2 linked regions of the Sus scrofa genome follow. The protein of the gene in region 1 interacts with the protein of each later gene in a pairwise test. Links are inferred from orthologs where the notes say so. Each region holds a gene or a part of one and is shown in the gene's direction. Other genes may lie near its edges.

The links.
Region 2: the proteins of SF3B4 (region 1) and PPP1R16B interact in binary tests that used the Homo sapiens proteins (3 or more experiments, as listed by UniProt). The two-hybrid records come from large-scale screens. The link is inferred for Sus scrofa from reciprocal best matches to the Homo sapiens genes SF3B4 and PPP1R16B.

The regions. Positions count from the first base shown.
Region 1 is NC_010446.5:99,122,147-99,126,394, forward strand, and holds the start of SF3B4 (splicing factor 3B subunit 4), read left to right. Parts: upstream 1-1,417; 5' UTR 1,418-1,511; coding exon 1,512-1,545; intron 1,546-2,024; coding exon 2,025-2,153; intron 2,154-2,689; coding exon 2,690-3,232; intron 3,233-3,814; coding exon 3,815-4,021; intron 4,022-4,248. UniProt on the Homo sapiens protein: Component of the 17S U2 SnRNP complex of the spliceosome, a large ribonucleoprotein complex that removes introns from transcribed pre-mRNAs.
Region 2 is NC_010459.5:41,851,183-41,854,993, forward strand, and holds part of PPP1R16B (protein phosphatase 1 regulatory inhibitor subunit 16B), read left to right. Parts: intron 1-376; coding exon 377-452; intron 453-1,695; coding exon 1,696-1,825; intron 1,826-1,918; coding exon 1,919-2,087; intron 2,088-3,811. UniProt on the Homo sapiens protein: Regulator of protein phosphatase 1 (PP1) that acts as a positive regulator of pulmonary endothelial cell (EC) barrier function. Involved in the regulation of the PI3K/AKT signaling pathway, angiogenesis and endothelial cell proliferation.

The DNA.
Region 1 (4,248 bases):
CTGGCCTCCAGGATGAGCTATCCCATCTTCAGGAGTTATTAAGGAAATGGACACCAAGAATATCTCCTGAGGATCACTCCAAGAAAAGAGATCCAAATACCATTCTTTCCCAATCCCACTGAAATTGCTGGCTCTCTCATGGGCGGGGCAGAGAGTGGTCTGGGGTGAGGGAGAATTCTGTCTAATCCTTCAAATCTTATCTGGTTTTACTCCCTCAGCTTTCATATGCCAGCCTTTAAACAAGCTCACTGACTTGAGTTTCCATAGCTGATAGGTGGCTAACCTTATCCAACTCTTACCCTATCCTTCTTGGTTTAAATAGTTTCTTGTGACCTGAAGAATTAAAGAAACAAAACCAACAAAACCAATCCGGAATATGATTGCCCTTTTTTCATGCATTCCAACCCTTTTGGATGGAAATTTTGGATACTGAGCTGGTAAATTGTGAGGTCAGAGAAACAATTTGTCAGTGCCAACAAGATGGCCTACAGACCTCCTTCTCACCTCCCCCTGCTGCTCCTTTGATTCCAATTTCTATTTCTTCCCTTAAAGTTTTCTCTGGGTGTGGTGTGGCTATGGGAGACACCCAGTCTTTTCCAATTGTATATTTTTGTAACGGCATTTCTATTTAAGGAGTTCATTAAATCACAGTATTTATACACACTGCTGGCATTGTTTCTTGTGTCTGAATAAAGGAACCTAGGTAAGATAGTGATGGTGTGACTCAAGAGAGGAAGATACAGACCGAATTACTGCTAAGGAAATAAGGGGATGGTTCAGGTGAAGCTCTGCAGAATTCATAGTTTGGGTTCTCCCTGTGGTGCTGATGTGGCAAAAACAGACCCAGACGTTGTTGTTGGGGCTGGGGTGTGCTCTGGGGGTTGAGACCAAAGCCTCTGGACTTCAGTGTTAACCACTCTTCAGCGCTGGTCACACACACTCCCATCTCTGAGCCTCTGGTTCCCGTCACCCCCAATGCAATACTGACTAGGCAAGCTCAACGTCACTCCAGCTCAGACATTCCGCAATCCCTTCCCTGAGGAAAAATGAAAGCCCAGGCCAGGACTATGGGGCCCCATCTGTCCAAAGGCTGCGGGCCGGGGTGGACAGCTGCCTCCACGCCTTGGGCAGAAGACCCTTCTCTGGGAATCAAAGGAGGCCACAAAATATACGAAAAATATTGTTCTCTTAGCTCCTGAATTGACATTTTTGGGAGCAGCGTGATCCTTTAACTTCAAGCACTGCCTTAGGGCGTTTGAGAGATTCCGATCCGCGTTCCCCGCCCTAACCTGTCAGAGCGGCACTTCAACACAAAACCAAAGACCGCGGAACACGGTAACACCAATCACTTCAAGTCTCAGCGGCTCCTAAAATGGCCGCGGCCGCTTCCGGCTCCTCCCCTGCATAGGCCCCGCCCACCGCCTCTACGTCCGCCTTCGCCCCGGAAGTGGAAGTAGTACTGCGGTCAGGAGGCGGTATCGCTGCCTGGAGACGGCGGGAGGTCTTTCGCCATGGCTGCTGGGCCGATCTCCGAGCGGAATCAGGGTGAGTGGAGGGCACAAGTCCGGGATGGGCCCAGGGGAGTTTGGGGGATCTCGGGTTACAGCCAGCAGTGTTTCCGCCAGGGCGGGAGATTGGAGCATCCCAAAAGGCGCTAGACCGGCCTGATGCCTGCTGGGGCGGGATGGACGGGTGCCCAGAGGCTGAGGCCTGTAGGTGTGATGTTGTCTATGTCCCATCCCCTGCTGCCTTCCCACTCACGCACACAAAAAATTACAAAGAGAATGTGCGCCAGAACTTTAAATTATATTTAAGAAGATTTTGTATTACCTGGAATGGAGGGCGGTGTAGGGGTATAAGCTAACGTCTTTTTTTTTTTTTTTTTTTTTTTTTCTTTTCTTTTTCTCTTTGCTCCAATACCCCATCTCCACCCGCAACTCCACCGCCTGGGTTCCGACTTCATGTTCCCGTCACCTCCTTATTTCCTCTCATCTCTGTCCTAACCTCCTAACCCTGTCCTCCAGATGCCACTGTGTACGTGGGGGGCCTCGATGAGAAAGTTAGCGAACCACTGCTGTGGGAACTGTTTCTCCAGGCAGGGCCAGTAGTCAACACCCACATGCCAAAGGATAGAGTCACTGGTCAGCATCAAGGTGAGTACATGGCAAGAAGTGCAGTTATTTTTCATTTAATTTATTTTTTGGTCTTTTTGTCATTTCTAGGGCCGCTCCCGCGGCATATGGAGGTTCCCAGGTTAGGGGTTGAATCGGAGCTGTAGCCACTGGCCTATGCCAGAGCCACAGCAAGGTGGGATCCGAGCGGCGTCTGCAACCTACACCACAGCTCACTGGCAACGCCGGATCCTTAACCCACTGAGCAAGGGCAGGGATCGAACCCACAACCTCATGGTTCCTAGTCGGATTCGCTAACCACTGAGCCACGACGGGAACTCCCAAGAAGTGCAGTTATGTTTTGAGGAAACAAACTGCTCCTGGAAGGTCCCGGCAGTATTCACAACTGTTTGGAATAAGCAAGCTAAAGTTTTCTTTCTCTTAAACTCAGTTTGTTTCTGGAACCATTCTCAGTTGAAGTAGGATTATTTTTTCTTGTTCTTTGTACTTTAGAAGGTGAGTTATACCTCATTTTGAATCGCTTCACTTAAGTTAACTCTTCTTTTCCATTTCCCTAGGCTATGGTTTCGTGGAGTTCTTAAGTGAGGAAGATGCTGACTATGCCATTAAGATCATGAACATGATCAAACTCTATGGGAAGCCGATACGGGTGAACAAGGCATCAGCTCACAACAAAAACCTGGATGTGGGAGCCAACATTTTCATTGGAAACCTGGACCCAGAAATTGATGAGAAGTTGCTTTATGATACTTTTAGCGCCTTTGGGGTCATCTTACAAACCCCCAAGATAATGCGGGACCCTGACACAGGCAACTCCAAAGGTTATGCCTTTATTAATTTTGCTTCATTTGATGCTTCGGATGCAGCAATTGAGGCCATGAATGGGCAGTACCTCTGTAACCGCCCAATCACTGTGTCCTATGCCTTCAAGAAGGACTCCAAGGGTGAGCGCCATGGCTCAGCAGCTGAACGACTTCTGGCAGCACAGAACCCACTCTCCCAGGCTGACCGCCCTCATCAGCTCTTTGCAGATGCCCCCCCTCCACCGTCTGCTCCAAATCCTGTGGTATCATCACTGGGGTCTGGGCTTCCTCCACCAGGTAGAGCTTTCTATTCAGAATATGTTTGTCTTAAATTGGGGGGAGGGCAGGAAGAAGGAAAAAGAACCTGGAAAGGAGGGGACATTGAGTCAGTAGGTGATGAGAAAGGGGTTGAGAGGTAATGGATGCAGTGAGAAGAACATTGTTGAATTGTTCTAGCATTTTTTTTTGTTTTTTGTCTTTTTGCCTTTTCTAGAGCCACTCCCATGGCATGTGGTGGTTCCCAGGCTAGGGGTCTAATCGGAGCTGTAGCCACCGGCCTACACCAGAGCCACAGCAACGTGGGATCTGAGCCACATCTTCGACCTACACCACAGCTCATGGCAACGCTAGATCCTTAACCCACTGAGCAAGGGCAGGGACCGAACCCGAAAGCTCATGGTTCCTAGTCAGATTTGTTAACCACTGCACCATGACAGGAACTCCTGTTCTAGAATTTTGAAGTTGTCTAAGTTGCTTCTGACTTTAGAGAGCTGGAAGGAGGGGAAAAGAACTCATCTTGCCTAGAGGCCAGATTGGAACAGGCCCCCTAAAGGTACTCTCTTCTCACTATCATGAACTCTTTTTCTATTTTCTCTACAGGCATGCCTCCTCCTGGCTCTTTCCCACCCCCAGTACCGCCTCCTGGAGCCCTTCCACCTGGGATACCCCCAGCCATGCCCCCACCACCTATGCCTCCTGGGGCTGGAGGACATGGCCCTCCATCAGCAGGAACCCCAGGGGCTGGACATCCTGCACATGGACACTCACATCCTCACCCATTCCCACCGGGTGGGATGCCCCATCCAGGTGGGTTTTCTTTGCTGGGAAGGAGAGGGATTCTTTCACCAGTTATGCTGCTGTTCTCTGTCCTTCAACAATAATAGAGAGTCCCTTTCTTTAGACATTCCTTTCTTCCAGACATTTTTTTTTTTTTGTCTTTTTGCTATTTCTTGGGCCGCTCCCGCGGCATATGGAGGTTCCCAGGCTAGGGGTCGAATCGGAGCTGTAGCCACCAGCCTACGCCAGAGCCACAG
Region 2 (3,811 bases), on another chromosome or scaffold:
ACAAGATGATATTCCAATTTGCCAAATTAGAAAACTCCCCTCATTTCTGCCTTGAGTAGTTTCTCCGTATGTTTCTCAGATATAAATCTCTGATTGTAGCCTTCACCGTTCCTCCTTAGACACTTGACAGCTCTGGAGTTATAGCCAGACTCCTCCTGTCCCTCCGTATGGCCCAGGCACACTGGAGGAGGAGGGGTCAGGCCCCTTGCATTTGCCTGGATTCCTGGCTTTATGGGGCGGATCCTTCCTTGGGAGTCAGCTTTGCCCCACCATTCTTTAGGTCACATTCTAAGAAGCTATGGACACTCTTTCCACCTCCTAGGCTTTCTGAGCCGTGGGCAGGGGGGAACTTGGGCCTCTTTTTCCTGTGTTTCAGATGCAGATGGCAGAGCTATTGGTGTCCCATGGGGCCAGTCTCAGTGCTAGGACATCCATGGATGAGATGCCAATAGGTAAGGTCAGCACAACACCTGGTACATACATAGGCACTCATCAACTTTTTGATGAGTAGAGGATAAAGGAATGAATATATGGTTGGATAGATGGTGGGCTGGTGAATTAGCATATGGATAGATAAATGGATGAGTGAATAAATTAATGGTGGTAGATTAATGGAGGGATGGATGGGTAAATGGATAAATGCATGTATGTATGAATATGAGTAAGAGGATGGGTGGGGGAGTTCCCATTGTGGTCATCGGGTTAAAAACCCAACTAGTATCCATGAGGATGCAGGTTTGATCCCTGGCCTCACTTAGAGGGTTAAGGGTCCAGCATTGCCACAAGCTGCAGCATAGGTTGCAGATGCAGCTCAGATCCCAAGTTGCTGCAGCTGTGGTGTAGACTGGCGGCTGCCGCTCTGATTCAGCCCCTAACCTGGGAACTTCCACATGCCTCACATGTGGCTGTAAAAAGAAAAAAAAAAAAGAGGATGGGTGGGTAGAGGATGAATCTATGGATGGATGACTGGTTCAACGAATAGGTAGACGGATGAATTAAAGGATGACGTGGATTGAATGGGTGGGGATATATAGTCTCAGCATCTTTTCATCATTTCTTCTTTGGGCTACATGGACTGTCTGTTGATACCTCTTGCGTCAGTGAAGAATTGATGACTCCTTTTAGAAGCTGTCAGAGGTGTCTGAATCTTTCAGTCACAGCTGGGAATTGGGACCATTCATAGAACTTTGCATGGGACCTGCTTTCCTCTTCTTCTTCTTTTTTTTTTTTTTTTTTTTGTCTTTTTTCCATTTCTTGGGCCGCTCCCGTGGCATATGGGGGTTCCCAAGCTAGGGGTCGAATCGGAGCTGTAGCCACCAGCCTATGCCAGAGCCACAGCAACTTGGGATCCGAGCCGCGTCTGCAACCTACACCACAGCTCACAGCCACACCGGATCCTGAACCCACTGAGCAAGGGCAGGGATCAAACCTGCAACCTCATGGTTCCTAGTTGGACTCATTACCACTGAGCCACAACGGGAATTCCCTGCTTTCCTCTTCTTACACTCTTCTCAGGGTGGGGTTATCGCCCAGGAAGTGAGACTGTCACTGTTTTCTCCCCTCCCCCATGCCCCAAAAGATGTTGGGAGTTTTCGGTGGGTTGGGATGGTAGTTCCCCTGGTCTGGAAGGCCCTCAGGGGACACAGGCCCCTGTACTGTCTCCCCGCCCCACAACGGTCTCCTCTGCCCCTTCAGACCTGTGCGAAGAGGAAGAGTTCAAGGTCCTGCTGTTGGAGCTAAAACACAAGCACGACGTGATCATGAAGTCCCAGCTGAGGCACAAGTCATCCTTGAGCAGGAGGACATCCAGCGCAGGCAGCCGCGGGTGAGTCAGAGGCAGGGCAACCCCGGGTGCCCCCTGAGGCTCCCGCCTGTGGCGCCTGGATGCAGCCTCTCAGCACCTGCCCTCTCCCCTCAGGAAGGTGGTGCGTCGAGCCAGCCTGTCCGACAGGACCAACCTGTACAGGAAGGAGTATGAGGGGGAGGCCATACTATGGCAGCAGCGGAGCGCAGCCGAGGACCAGCGGACGTCCACCTACAACGGGGACCTCCGGGAGACACGGACAGACCAAGAGAATAAGGACCCGGTGAGTGCCCGCCTCCGGCCCGGCCCCGGGGTTCACTGCCACGGGAGGGGGCCAGGGCTGAGCCTGGCGTTGCTGCTCCAGGTCAGCGCCTTCAGGGGGTGGTTGGCTGGCCGGTGCCCTGAAACAGCTGGCTCCCGTCTGATGGGGTGGCTGCTGTGGTTAATGAGACACGTGAAGGGGGTGTTGGAGTCCCAGCTGGGAGATTTGCACACAGTAGGGACACACAGGTACCAGGGAGCACGTGATCGGCACCTGCCTGCTTAGGCTCCAGCAGAACTAGTTCTGAGCTTCCCAGAAGGGAGATTTCGTCGGGCAGCCACCCTGGGAGAAAAGAGCCCGAACACTTCAGGAGGGGAAATAAAGCAAGACGCTGAGAATTGTTTACCAGAACACATCTGGTTGGAAGAAAATGTCTGGAAAAACGGAGTGAGGTGCTGACAGGACGTCTAAGAAGCTGGCTCCAGGAGTAGCCAATGGCCTGGGCATTAAACTGCTTTCCTAAGAGGATGCTGGCTTGACACAACAGAAACGTACAATCTGCCAGTTCTGGGGGCCAGAAGTCTAAAAATCAAGGTGTCGACAGGGTTGGTTCTTTCTGGGGGCTCTGAGGGGAATCTGCTCTGTGCTGCTCTCCTAGCTTCTGGTGGCTCAGGAGGTCCTTGGCTTTTTGCTGGCATGCCTCCACCTCTGCCTCTGTCTTCATGTGGTCTTCTTTGGGTGTGTGTCTATGTCTCTGTTTTCTCTTAGAAAGACACCAGTTAGGGAGCTTCTTTGTGGCACAGCAGGTTAAGGATCCAGCCTTGTCACCATAGTGGCTCAGGTCGCTGCTGGGACACAGGTTCACTCCCTGGCCTGGGAGCTGCCACATGCTGTGGGTATGGCCAAAAGAAAAAAAGAAAGAAAGAAAGACACCAATCATTTGGATTAGGGCCCATCCTTAGCCGTATGACCTCATCTTAATTTAACTGATTACATCTGCAAAGACCCTACTTCCAAATACGGTCACACTCAGAGATGTGGGGTGGACATGGGTTTGAAGTGGGGGAGGGGTCATATTCGACTCAGTACCAATGCACTCAGGCACTGAGGTCCATGCATGGCTTCATTCTCACTGAGGAGAGCAAGTGAGTTTGAGGCCAGAGCAGAATTGCTGGGGACAAAATGAAGAGGCTGGGAGTTGTGGCTCAGGGGAAATGAATCCAACTAGGATCCACAAGGATGTGGGTTCCAACCCTGACCTCGCTCAGTCAGTTGGGGATCTGGCATCATTGCTGTGACTGTGGTGTAGGCCGGTAGCTATAGCTCCAATTCAACCCCTAGCCTGAGAACTTCCATATGAGGCCCTAAAAAGAAAAAAAAAAAAACAACCCAGAACAAAGAGGCTGACCATACCAGCAATTGTCTGCCATTTTGGTTCTTCCATTGCATGATGAGCAGCTGAAAACATGTCTTGCAAGTATTGCTTGGGAGGGAAGCAAAATGACTAGCTGCCCAGCATGCCCACCTGTCTCAGTGGGACCCTGCTTCCCCATGTGAACAGGGAGGTCACATGAGGGCTTGTCCATTGAAGAGAATCCCCAGCAAAGCACTGGGATGGAGACGTACACATGGAGCTTTTGTTCTTTGGGACTGGGAGAGAAAAGGGTTATAGATTGAAATCAAATCACATTTCAGATGCCTCCCAACTATGCAGTAATTTTTCTTCCATGTTATTGAGGTGTAAC